Linked DNA regions of Arabidopsis thaliana. The protein of the gene in region 3 binds, or shares a complex with, the protein of the main gene of each other region. Each region holds a gene or a part of one and is shown on either strand. Other genes may lie near its edges.

Region 1 (3,910 bases), about 28 Mb from region 3:
ACCGATGATGTACCATGGTGGACACAATCCTTTACACCGGTGGCCCATATCCGCAGCCTCGAGAAGCCATTATCCCCCGTTTTCGATGGGGGCAATGCATGGACCATATGGTGGTTGTGGACCTTGTGGTGGTCCAATTGATCCATACCAATCCATGCCTCGACCCAGAATGTTCGATGGTGTTCACATTTCACAATATCCGCCTATGGCTGCAGCATATCCGTATATGGCTGCAGCTGGTCCTTTCCCCTATTGGCAAACCAGACCGTACATGGATGCAAATCCTATGAAGCGTTACACTACCTATGCAGAAAATTACTCCTATTTTTATTCATGAGTCTATGTTTTTCCTCTGTTTGCTTCATCTCAGAAATAAGAAACTAAATTAATGACAAGAGTTAAGGTCCTATTGCTGCTATGCAAACAAGAACTCATATTACTTTATATAAGTTCCTTCTTACTGAGTCTATATGTTTTTCCTCTGCTTGCTTCATCTAAGAAAGGGAAAAACTTAAGTAGTGACAGCCTGACAAGAGTGAAGGTGTTTCTAAGTAGGCTTTAATAAGCTTTTCATTTGAACGAGGAAAAGAAATTAAATTATCCATTGTTAATAAAATGGAACAAGATTCATGGCCATACCATTGGCTCTACATCAGGGAAATATTCATTATAAAGCCATTACGCCGAATGAAAAGTATTCAAGTTTTGGAGATACAAAGATATTTCAGAATCAGCCACCCCTAGCTTCTCTTCTAGCTGCGTCGTGAAGCAAATCAACATCGACTCCATCTTTAGGTAACTGCACGTACCTTACCACAGATCCTCTGATGAAACAGTTTCTCACTGAAAGCTACACAGAACAAACACACAAATCCGTCAGCTAAAAACATCTTCGGGAGGATTCTAGCGAAATTGTACTATTTGACAAGGTTTCTAAAGTGTGACACTGACAAGATAAAGAAATACAGTGCCAAAGATATAACAATATAAACGCCATAAAACCTAAATGCATTGAAATTGGTCATGCAAACATATTGCAAATCTTTTGTAATCCTGAGTAGACTTGACAAATTGCAGTACAAAAGCAGCAATCTCAATCAAATATGTGAACCAGAACCACTAATCACTTCAAATCATCCCTTTGCGTCTGTAAATCTAATCAATATCACGTTAGAGCTTCTCAAGCTTGGTCACAGTAAATGAAAGCAAGGAAAAAGAAAAGAGTGAAGGCTTAAACACATTTGCAAGAGCCAAGGATTAAGCTTTCAATCAGTTCATAAGTGATATTTTACAATACGAGACAAAGAAGTATAGCAAGAAACTAGCGAGTGAGATCAATTCCAGTATAATGTCAAACACTTAAGAGCACTTCAAGCACACACAACAAAGAAAATATTGCCTATGTGAACAAAAAAAAAACAATAGGCTGCTCCAATAAACCCTAAATTCCCAATTCTTAGAGAAATCGCTTAAAAGAAAGAAAATTTACCATGTGAGGGTACTTGTCCTGGTCAACAACCCTAGTGTTCTCGAGCTTGATATTCAGATACTGATCAACTGAGTGAAGAGTTCCTCTTATGGCTAAATCATTCTTCAGCTCAACCGTCACTTCTTGTCCAACCAAATCCTTGAAGTAAGAAAAGAACAACTGCACCAGAGAACAAACACAATCAAAACCCATCACGAGAAACCCTAAATCATCATCGAAAACCATAAACTCGAAATCTCCAAGAACCCTAGAACCATTGGCTAAAAAAGAGTAAACCCATGAATAATTACGAAGAAAGAAGAAACCTTTTCTAGGTCAAACAAAACAACTGCCAACAATCAAGTTCATGAAGATGAAGAAAGCATTCAAATTTACCATTTTTGTTTCCTGCTGATTTCTACCTCTGCTCGCAATTCAACAAAGAAGCTGAAAAAGCTTTGCGGGATTTGAGGACTTTAGAACTTCTCTCTCTCGAGTAAAGAATGTATGTACCCTAATGATCTTTGGGTTAATTTCGAGAATATAAGAAACCAAAGGTATATTTATGTAATTATTGAAAAGATTGGGTATGTTCTTGGTAATTTAAGTAATAAGTGCCTCAAAGGGTAAATATTTAAAAACTCAAAGTGTGTTTTGGTCACCAGCCAAAACTGAATAAAGAAAAGATTTACACAAATCTTATAATATCTGACGCATATATAGGCGAGATTGCTGACGATAAGCTTTTTCGTTTTGTTTCCATGGTTTTGTGACGAAGAAGAGAAAAAAAAATAAGAAGTCAGTTTTTTCTCAATGGCTTCTCATAGCTATTCAACACTTAGGTTTAGTCTCCTTCAAGAGCTAAGAAGCAACGAGATCATCAAGGTCAGTTTTTTACTTTCTCTGTTTTAAAACACTTGGGTTTAGAATCTCTCGTTGAATTCTTGTCCTGGTTCTGTCTTCTCCTTGTTTGGTTCTTATGTCTATGAATGATTCAGACAAGCCGGGCTTATCTGGTGAATCCTGGAGGAAGAAAATATGAGATATTACCGGAGAGCTCCTTTAACCTGAAATCACAACTCTTGGAGCCATTGAAACCTTTTTCTTCTTTTAGTAAGTCTAACCACTTTTTGGAGTTTGATTCAACCATGATGAAGCATAGACTCATGGATGTTCATGGTATGTGACTTTGATCAAATTTCAGTTGAATTCACCAAATTGTAATCCCTTTTTTCGACTGACATGAACTGTGGTTAACAGAAACTGGACCAGACCCTGTGTGTTTAAGCTTGGGGATCACTCAGCAGTATGCAAGAAAAGAGGAGGTGTTAGAGTTCCTTTTGTCTAGATCAGAAGAAGAACTCAAAGAAGAAGGATTCGATTTGTCTCTCCTATCTGAATTGATGGGTCTAGATGCTTTAAGATCAAGTTCTCAGCAACCATATGCAAAGCCGTTATTGGATCTCATGGTGGATGCTAACATTCTGTTCTCAAGTAGCAGAGCTGAATTGAATGATTTGGTCTCTACGGCAGCTGAGTTTCATAGATTAAGGAACTCAACAAGATGGAGAAAGCTCTCACGGCTTGTCCCGCAGTTTCAGCGGTAGTTAATTCTTCACTGCAAGTTTGATTCATACCTATGAGTCTCATCCTTTTGGGTTTAACATTAAGTTTTTGCTCTCCTCTCATTCTGCAGATTCGACAGTGAAGTACCAATAGACACTCTGCAGCTACCCGAGGACGCAGTTACACTAGCTCCTCCAAAGAGGTATCTAATATCATCAACTAGTTTTTGGTACTTTTGCATCTTTAAAAAACGTTTCTTTCGATTTCCAACAGTCCGAAGAAAACCAGGCTCAAGCCTTCACCAAAGAAACAAAATCCGAAGATAAGAGATAAGGAATATGACCTCTACGAACGAAACCGTCTTCATGCGTGTGAGAGCCTTCTCTCTCTGATGATAGGCAATGAACAACATAGAAAAACCACAATGCTATCTCTAAAGAAATCACGTGGAGAACTCTTCGAGCTTTTGACTCAGTGTTCAATTGGCTTTGCTGGCACTGGTATGGCTGTGCTCTTCTTTCTCGTTTGTAATGTTGCTTCCAGGCAGGTACCCTTTTGCGCAAACCAATTCTTCGAGGGTGCAATGAGTTTGAGTTTGGTATTGCTCTCGTGGTCTGTGAGTAGACTCAGGGAAGCCCTTGTTAATTTCAATAGGAAAACAATCAACGAAGAAGAAGTCTCAAATAAAGTGGAAAGAAGAATCAAAGAAGTTTACTTCAGAGCTGCCACAGTTATTGCCATGGTTGCACTTAGGTTTGGTTGAATGTTGGAATGCTGATGATTTGGAGTCTAGTTTCTAACTCCATTCTTTGGCTTGCTTAAAGGTTAATTTGTCAATGTTAGGTTGTAGAATAAAGTGAAGATATCACACTGGGA
Region 2 (4,006 bases), on a different chromosome or scaffold from region 3:
AACAGAGCGATCCTCTCCTTCTTGAGCTCTTATCTCCCTGAAGTTGATCTTTTTTATAAATCTGTTATTCAACAGAGGGAAGAATTATGGTGGAAGACATTGTAAGGTTGGGGAGATTGGGAAGCAAGCCAGAAGAAAATGCAACGGAAGAAGAATCAAGCTGAAGGAAATAATACTATGATTTTAAGACACACATAGACTTTTTAATACTAGTGAAGAGAGTTTTATTGAGAGAAGCTCTACTTCATGTTTTGCTGCTTAGACATAAGCAGGCTACTTACATATACAAGCGGCTAAGAATACGAGACCTTTTGCTAGTAATGTGAAAAGAGGTTGAAGATTAAAAATAACATTACGCCAAGAATGATATCTTGAGCGTTTTATTTCAATGGAAACTCCTGATTCAAATGTGTCGATGGCTATGAATATGATAATCTGATGATTGACTGGTTATACTAGTTTGACATGTGTGTTTCCAGTGATCCCTAAATGACATAATTCGATTACTAAACTTTAATGATCTTCCTCGTTTCGATCTGTTGGTCACCCAAACTCAATTTTGTTTGCTTGTATGATTGTATCAAGCCATAAATTAATAATTTTTCTTCTTTATCTGGGGTCACATGGAAGAGTATCATATTACTAAGAAAAAAGTGATGTCTGTATCCCAAAAATCTACTGAAGAACATAGGATGACAATCTTGGTACATGTCTACTACTCTTTTAATATGAGGTAGAAGAAGACAACAAAAATGGCAGCCATAACATGACCACTGTTGTTGTTGTTGATGATCATGATGGGCCTAGGCTCCGTCTGCTACAGTCATGTTTACTGTACTGATGTAAAGAACTGCATCCAAAGAAACCACACTTAAAAAGAAAGATATACAAAGAAGAAGATTGAGAGAAGGATGAGTGTGAGAGATTTTAGTTACCGTTGTTTCCACGGATAAAGGCGTCACCATATTTGTTCTTGAGCTGCCCGTTTACATACTCCTCCGTCTGCTCCATTGCTATGTTCATATATCCATCAAGACAAGTAAGAGTGCCTGTGAAAAGAGTAATAAAAACTTGATCAAGAACTCAACATTAAGCTTGAACAGAACATAGACAAAACTGACTCGGGCACGAAAGGAAAGAAGTCAACAAGAATGATATAAGTAGCCTTGATAATGAGAGAAACTGACTTAAATATTCAAATATCTCAGTCAACTATTGTAACCTTATTGCAGGCAGAAAGGAACATGTTCTTAAGAAAACCATTGAACAATGTTCACAAGGAAACCTTAGAAAATGTAAGAAAAGCTTCACATATTGACTTTAAAAGAATCATTTAAAAGCTGAAGACATAACATGATAATTAAGTTACTTAAGTGGGCTTAATACAAGCAACTCTTTAATTCCCTTAACATAGACAAAAGAACTAGTCCTAAGTCAAAGCTTCTAACCTAAAGTGCAGCAGAGATAGAGAACTTGCAAAACACATAAGAACATCTAACGAGAGAGAGAGGCACCTCGATAATCAACACCAGAATTGAGCTTGACAACAACGGGTCTCCCACGGATGGATTTGAGGAAATCTGCAGGTGTCTTTGTCGTTCCAGAAACTTTCTCTTCAACTCCACTCATCTTTTAAGCTCGATCCTTTACGTAACTGCAGAAACAATTGAGATCTGAAATCAGTTTGGTCGCTCTTCGAACTACAAAAACTCAAAAGGTAAAAACCATTCAGAGTCAATCTCTCGAATCACAAAAAGACTCCGAAACCTAAAAACCTAAACCTTCAACCCAATAGAAGCGAATTCGATTGAAAATGTAAAGAGAAATCGAAACTTTAACAAGGATTAAAGGAACTGAAAGAAGAACTCCTTACCTGAGACCTACTCGAGTACGAGACACAGAGAGAAAGAGAGAGCGAAGAAATAACGAATCGGTCCTAAGGGCTTTTATTATTTATTTCCAAAACTATATACTATATGATTATTGTTATTTCGATTCGATCGAGTTTTCATATTAAAACTAATAATAATTGAACATTAGTCCTTATAGATTTTATTATTTTACTTTGGAGGGTGAAATTAAATCTCCAGTGCGTTTCGGTTCGACCTCACAGTTTCTTCTGTTCTCGTCTCTCTCTCGTTTGCTTTCTCTACAGATCCCTAAATCCTCTCCCTTTGGACCGTTAATCCCCCAAACCCTAGATTTTACAAACAATTCCTCTCAATCTCTCTAAATTCTCTTTCTCCTGCAAGGAATTTGCGGACTGTTTCTTGTGGGGTAAATCTTCTATTAGCTATGGGGAAGAATCAAGCTTACAAGGCTATGCAGAGATCTAGGGTTGGTTCCAGCTCCGCCCAGCCGGATGAGGTTGAAGACGGAATGGTTTGTACCTTTTCATACTCTCATCTTCTTCATTGCAAATTGATTCTGTTTTTTTTTACTTCTCCAAACAAAATTCCAATTTGGTTGATTTACTTATGGTTTTGTTGATCTTTTGTGTTGTTGGGTTATCGAGCTGCATTTAGAATTAAGCCTACAAGAGATCCTTTATGAGTCCCAATTTTGGGGGAAGAACTTGTATCTAATACCTGCTAGGTCTTGTAGACGATATCAAGTCCATGTTTAAATGTGATTTCGTAAAAGTGTAGCATCAGAGTTTGTGTTACAGTGATTCAAGAGTCTTTTTATTGTTGTTGTAAGCTGTGAACACAAAGAAGCATTTGGATTAGTCAAACTTTGATATTTTGCATTGGTACCGGAACATTTCTGATGAGGATTGTCTCAGGTGGATGGTTCATTTCATACACCAGAGTGGCATGCGGCTCGTTTGGCTAGCCTCAAGACTACACATACTATTACCTGGGAAGAGTATAAGCAGAAGCAAAAGGTAATCTTTTTGCCTTTTTAATACTTAAGTTCTTCTGTATGTTGTATGGAACGGTGTTCCTTGTTATAATGCCATAGAAGATAATCAATTGACCATTGATGATTTAGTGTTCATAAGATTGCTATTATTGTCGTCAATTTAGAAGCTTTATTCCAACATATCATTTTCTTTTCCTCTGCTGTTTATCATCTTCAGCCACAGATACGCAGTCTTTGTGTGTTTATATAAAAATGAGTGTGTCTTCCTTCTACATTACATCTATCCCTATCTCGCGGTTTTCAAGTAACTCTAGTCATGCTCATTTTTTAAACATTTTTATTATCTGCAATATCAGTTTTTTACTACTACTTGCAGCAGTCTCTCTGTATTGTGAGTATGGAACATTAGGAAATGTTTAACATTATATCTTTCTTTCGTGTAACATGTGTAGGAAGAAGAATTGAAAAAGGGAGAACTTGAAGCAGATACCGATAAACTGATGCGTGAGTATAGAGCTCAGCTGGATGCAGAAAGGTCGTTGAAACTCTCCAAAGGAAGGAACTATTCTAGTGATAAGTCACGAAAAGGTAAACATAATCCACTTAACTTAACATGACATCTAAACCTTCTTTCTGAGGACGTTATTAACTGGTCGCCAATGGTTCAATGACCTCGCAGATAAGAAAGACAGAGATTCAAAGAAGAAGAAAAGCAAAAAGAGAAAGGTGCCTTCTAAAAGTTTAGCTTATATCAGATAGTGTGAGGTTTTCTAGCTTATGCTAACATGAACCATGATCGGTTGTGTTATGAATTTGCAGCATTATTCGTCCTCAGAGTCGTCATCTAGCAGTGATGAAGATGAATCTAGAAGATCAAGATCAAGTTCGAAAAGATCAAAGAAGGAGAAGAAGCACAAGTCCAGCAGAGACAAACACTCTAGCAAAAGTAAACACGAAACCGATGGCCCTGTACCACTCTCTAGATTCTTTGGCAATTTGAAGAATTGACAAAAGCAAAACTGCAAATGAACTATTACAAAGAGTAAGATTGTCTTCAATCAAAATACTCAAAGTAGGATATGATTGCTTTCTTCCTTGTTGCAATGTTATATTTTTGACAATAGCTCATGTATTAATATTT
Region 3 (3,593 bases):
GCATCAGTGAAGCAGTCGAGACCCCAGGGCATAATCGTAGACCAACTCGTGGCAGCGAAGACACAGTTTCAGATGACAAGCAATCTGTTTCAGCAGATGACCTCCTCGTAACACATACATTTCCTTTCTCTTTTCAACAGATTTGATCAAATATCAAAACCTCAATTTTGATCATTTTGTTTTATTTCGTGAACAGGCTCTAACGAAACAGTGTTCAAACGAATTGCTACAACAAGAGTTGGAGAGAACTCGTGTGAACACAGCATGCTTTGCAGAGTCAGCCCCATTAGAGTCAACGCCTCCATTACCCAAAGCTACCTACTCTTCCTTTAGAGGATCAATGGATTCTCCAAGCAGAAACTACAGAGGCTCACAATCATCTGGTTCTCCCATTAATGCCCGACCCAGACGAAGATAATAAGAGACCAACTTTGTTTATTTAATAATTTCTTCTCCGTTTATTTGTACGTAAATGATCATAATTCTCTTGTTCCTGGTGCATTTTTTTGTTTGTTTGTCTGTCTTTTTCAGACTCTTATCTTTATTTGTGAACTCAGATAATTGGGTTGTAATTAGTATATCACACGATCAAAGTATCTGAAAAGCATTGGAAATTTAAGCAAAGTAGCTTCTTCAAGCTTGTTTTAGTTAAGACAAGAAGTGACTAAATACAAGAATAGTCACAAATTCCCCTTACGAAAAGAGGACACAAAAGATTTGAGTTTGAACTCAGGCTGCTGTCCTCAGCGGTGGAGACACCAATATCACTCCATCTCCTCTCACGAATAGAAACTCAATCGTCCGCTTTGTAGTCTGCAATCAGAGATAGTAAACAAAACTAATCACATACATGAGAGACAAAAGCCACTTATCCTAATCAGATCAGAATTGTAGCCCGCCTAGAGGAGTCCCAACAACTAATATGTGTGTGCCTAAGAAGCTTAAAGAAAGAGACTTCTCTACTAGAAACAGTCAGTTACATGGAAATGCCTTCCTAATTTCGATCCAATAGCTTATATCTTCCAGAACAATAAGATTCGTGTAGGATATAATCTCTTGTCTAAGTAAATGTTCTACATTGAGCTGAAACTTCTGTATATAGTGAAAGCTAAAAGACACTTGTACACTTGTTCTCTAACAATATCCTTAACTTGAGATAGAAACTCATCAAGATCCCCCTCAAATACCTATAAAGTTAACTATTGAGTAAGAAAAAGCACGTACCCGAACAATCTCTTCATATGTCTCGTCATCGATTTCTACTGTAGTGATAGTTTCTTCAACATCACCCAGAATCATATTCAAATGCTGATCAAACGCCTGCCCAAAGAATTAACAACAACAACAACATCAAACCTAAGTGAGTAACTCAAGAGTGTAGAAATCTTCCAAAATTTAAGAACTTTGTCAAAATTAAATTTACACAAACCATAAATTCCCAATTGCAAGCTCATCGCCATAACTCGAGAAAACGTTTTTAGAAACTGAAACTTGAAAATCAAAACCCTAGACTTTCCCCCAAAAAAGGACCAAATTCGACACCAAAACAGTGAAATCGGCAAAATAAAGTTACAAAATTCAAACGAACTATGTGTGGAACGAGTATTTTAAGTAGTGACAAGTTCAAGGTACTAAGCAGGGCACAAGAAAACGTACGTGAAGCTTGCCGCGAAGTTCGCGGTCTGACCGGAGCTTGACATAGATTCTCTCGTCGAGACTCAGCCTAATCAGATCTAGTGGCTCCCTCACGGTGGCTTCTTCCTCGCCGGACATCGTGTAGACAGAGATACCTTCCCACCTGAAACACTTCTCGGAGGGTTTTGGTACCGACGAATCGTATAACCGGACACAAACTCTGATCTCGCGGACACGAACTTAACAATTTTGTTCTACGAATAAGATTTTACAAATATATGGCAACAGCCCAACAGAATATTAGGCCCATAAACGAACGTTGGCGAAAAAATGTTTTTTTTTTCAAAACTATCGGCATATTTTATTATTTCAAAGATTATCAATGGGTTCTACTAGCTAGGTTCTACTTCTACCTTGAGAAAATTGAGTTGAGGTCTTGTATGTATAGATATTTCAGTAAACAAATATTAATGTTAGATTTTAATTTTAAAATGTAAATTAAGATATTAAATTTGACGTTTTGTACTTCGATTCGTTTGTTTTCTACTTACAAGCGTTTCACAACTTTTTTCGAGTTGTAACGCTTGACAGTTTCACAAAGTAAGCATACGTGTAAAATAGAATCATTTATTGTGACTAATGTTTTTAACCAAATATGGTATCTTCTAAAACGTGATACCAATCACTTTTTAATCACTATATACAAATTTAAGTTTAATATATTTATATATAAATTTATAACTTTTTTTTATCTGAATTGTAACACTTATTGGTTCCATAAAATAAATATATGTGCGAGAGTATAATAACTTGGACATGATTTGGTGATGAAATTCTACAATATTGTGTTTTTAAAACTCACATTGTATCTACTAAATTTAAATTAATATAAATTTATATGTCCAAACTAAGATAACATAAATTTAAACAATATAGAAGAAGAACGACACTATTGTTAATAATTCGATAAGATACTAAAAAAAAAAAAAATATACACTTTTTAACCTTTTTAATGTGAATTGTAACGCTTCTACAAAATAAGCACACGTGTAAGAGTATAAAAACTTATTGTGGATTTAGTAATGAATCATGAAATGTTGTATTAATGATTCAATAAGGAAGTAAAAAAAAAAAGTTTAAAAAAAAAAACTAATACTTAGATTTCCCTTGACAATCATATCTTTTAATATATAAAAAAACATATAAATTTCAGTTATTTCAAAATTCAAATTCATACTCTACCCATAGTGACTACCAAAATCAATCGTAAATAAATAAATAAAAAAGAAATGGTGGGTCCAAATATCTTCTGATACATTGGACATAAATAACTTTTGTGATTTGTCACTAAAAAAGATTTAGAAACAAGACTCTCTTCTTCTTCTTCCTCTAAATGTTTTGTCCGCCACACGCATTGTCTCAGTGATCAGAGTTCTTCGTCTCTCTACTTGAACTCTCATCTCTAAAACCCTAGACTCTCTCGTCTTCAATCGTTTTAAAAAGGTCCGTTTAGTTTTAGCATGAAATTTTCTCTAAAGATAAGTTTTTTTTTTCGTCTTTTGTTAGCGATGTTTTATAGTTTATCGAATTCGTAGTGTTTGATTGCGATTGCTCTGTTTACAAGCTTACTTTGATCGGATGATTTAGGTTTCATATTTGGAGAAATCCATCTAAGAAAAGTTTGATTTTGAGGAGAAAGACTGAATTTTTATTTTCTCTGATTCAGATTTTTCTTTTGGAAACTGTAGAAATGGAAGGAAATTGCTCGCAAGGACGCTTTGATTCTCAAGTTTCTTCTATGAGAGATCTTCGTCCAAATGCTATAAATCAGAATCAGAAACAACACCATCCAAATTCTCGACAAGACTCAGGCTTTAACAATACTATGGATACACGTCACAACAATGTCGACAGAGGAAAGAAATCAATGAGTGAAGATGATGAACTATGTTTGTTAA

The links.
Region 1: LSM3B (region 3) and LSM2 share a complex: the UniProt entries of both Arabidopsis thaliana proteins name them as parts of the heptameric LSM1-LSM7 complex.
Region 2: LSM3B (region 3) and LSM6A share a complex: the UniProt entries of both Arabidopsis thaliana proteins name them as parts of the heptameric LSM1-LSM7 complex.

Annotation. Positions count from the first base shown.
Region 1 is NC_003070.9:817,431-821,340, forward strand, and holds LSM2 (Small nuclear ribonucleoprotein family protein), read right to left. Parts: upstream 2,134-3,910; 5' UTR 1,868-2,133; coding exon 1,865-1,867; intron 1,649-1,864; coding exon 1,490-1,648; intron 851-1,489; coding exon 731-850; 3' UTR 504-730; downstream 1-503. Other genes in the region: AT1G03320 (uncharacterized protein), read left to right, coding at 1-337; AT1G03340 (uncharacterized protein), read left to right, coding at 2,282-2,353, 2,467-2,647, 2,729-3,071, 3,165-3,236, 3,308-3,797. UniProt on the Arabidopsis thaliana protein: Component of LSM protein complexes, which are involved in RNA processing. Component of the cytoplasmic LSM1-LSM7 complex which is involved in mRNA degradation by promoting decapping and leading to accurate 5'-3' mRNA decay.
Region 2 is NC_003074.8:22,094,464-22,098,469, reverse strand, and holds LSM6A (Small nuclear ribonucleoprotein family protein), read right to left. Parts: upstream 2,002-4,006; 5' UTR 1,874-2,001; exon of another isoform or gene 1,655-1,873; 5' UTR 1,630-1,654; coding exon 1,515-1,629; intron 1,050-1,514; coding exon 936-1,049; intron 851-935; coding exon 804-850; 3' UTR 504-803; downstream 1-503. Other genes in the region: LETM1 (LETM1-like protein), read left to right, coding at 78-181; AT3G59800 (stress response protein), read left to right, coding at 2,296-2,382, 2,786-2,887, 3,318-3,453, 3,545-3,591, 3,685-3,873. UniProt on the Arabidopsis thaliana protein: Component of LSM protein complexes, which are involved in RNA processing. Component of the cytoplasmic LSM1-LSM7 complex which is involved in mRNA degradation by promoting decapping and leading to accurate 5'-3' mRNA decay.
Region 3 is NC_003070.9:28,853,865-28,857,457, forward strand, and holds LSM3B (Small nuclear ribonucleoprotein family protein), read right to left. Parts: upstream 1,887-3,593; 5' UTR 1,774-1,886; coding exon 1,657-1,773; intron 1,321-1,656; coding exon 1,225-1,320; intron 814-1,224; coding exon 730-813; 3' UTR 550-729; downstream 1-549. Other genes in the region: SEC5A (exocyst complex component sec5), read left to right, coding at 1-107, 197-418; AT1G76870 (transcription factor), read left to right, coding at 3,386-3,593. UniProt on the Arabidopsis thaliana protein: Component of LSM protein complexes, which are involved in RNA processing. Component of the cytoplasmic LSM1-LSM7 complex which is involved in mRNA degradation by promoting decapping and leading to accurate 5'-3' mRNA decay.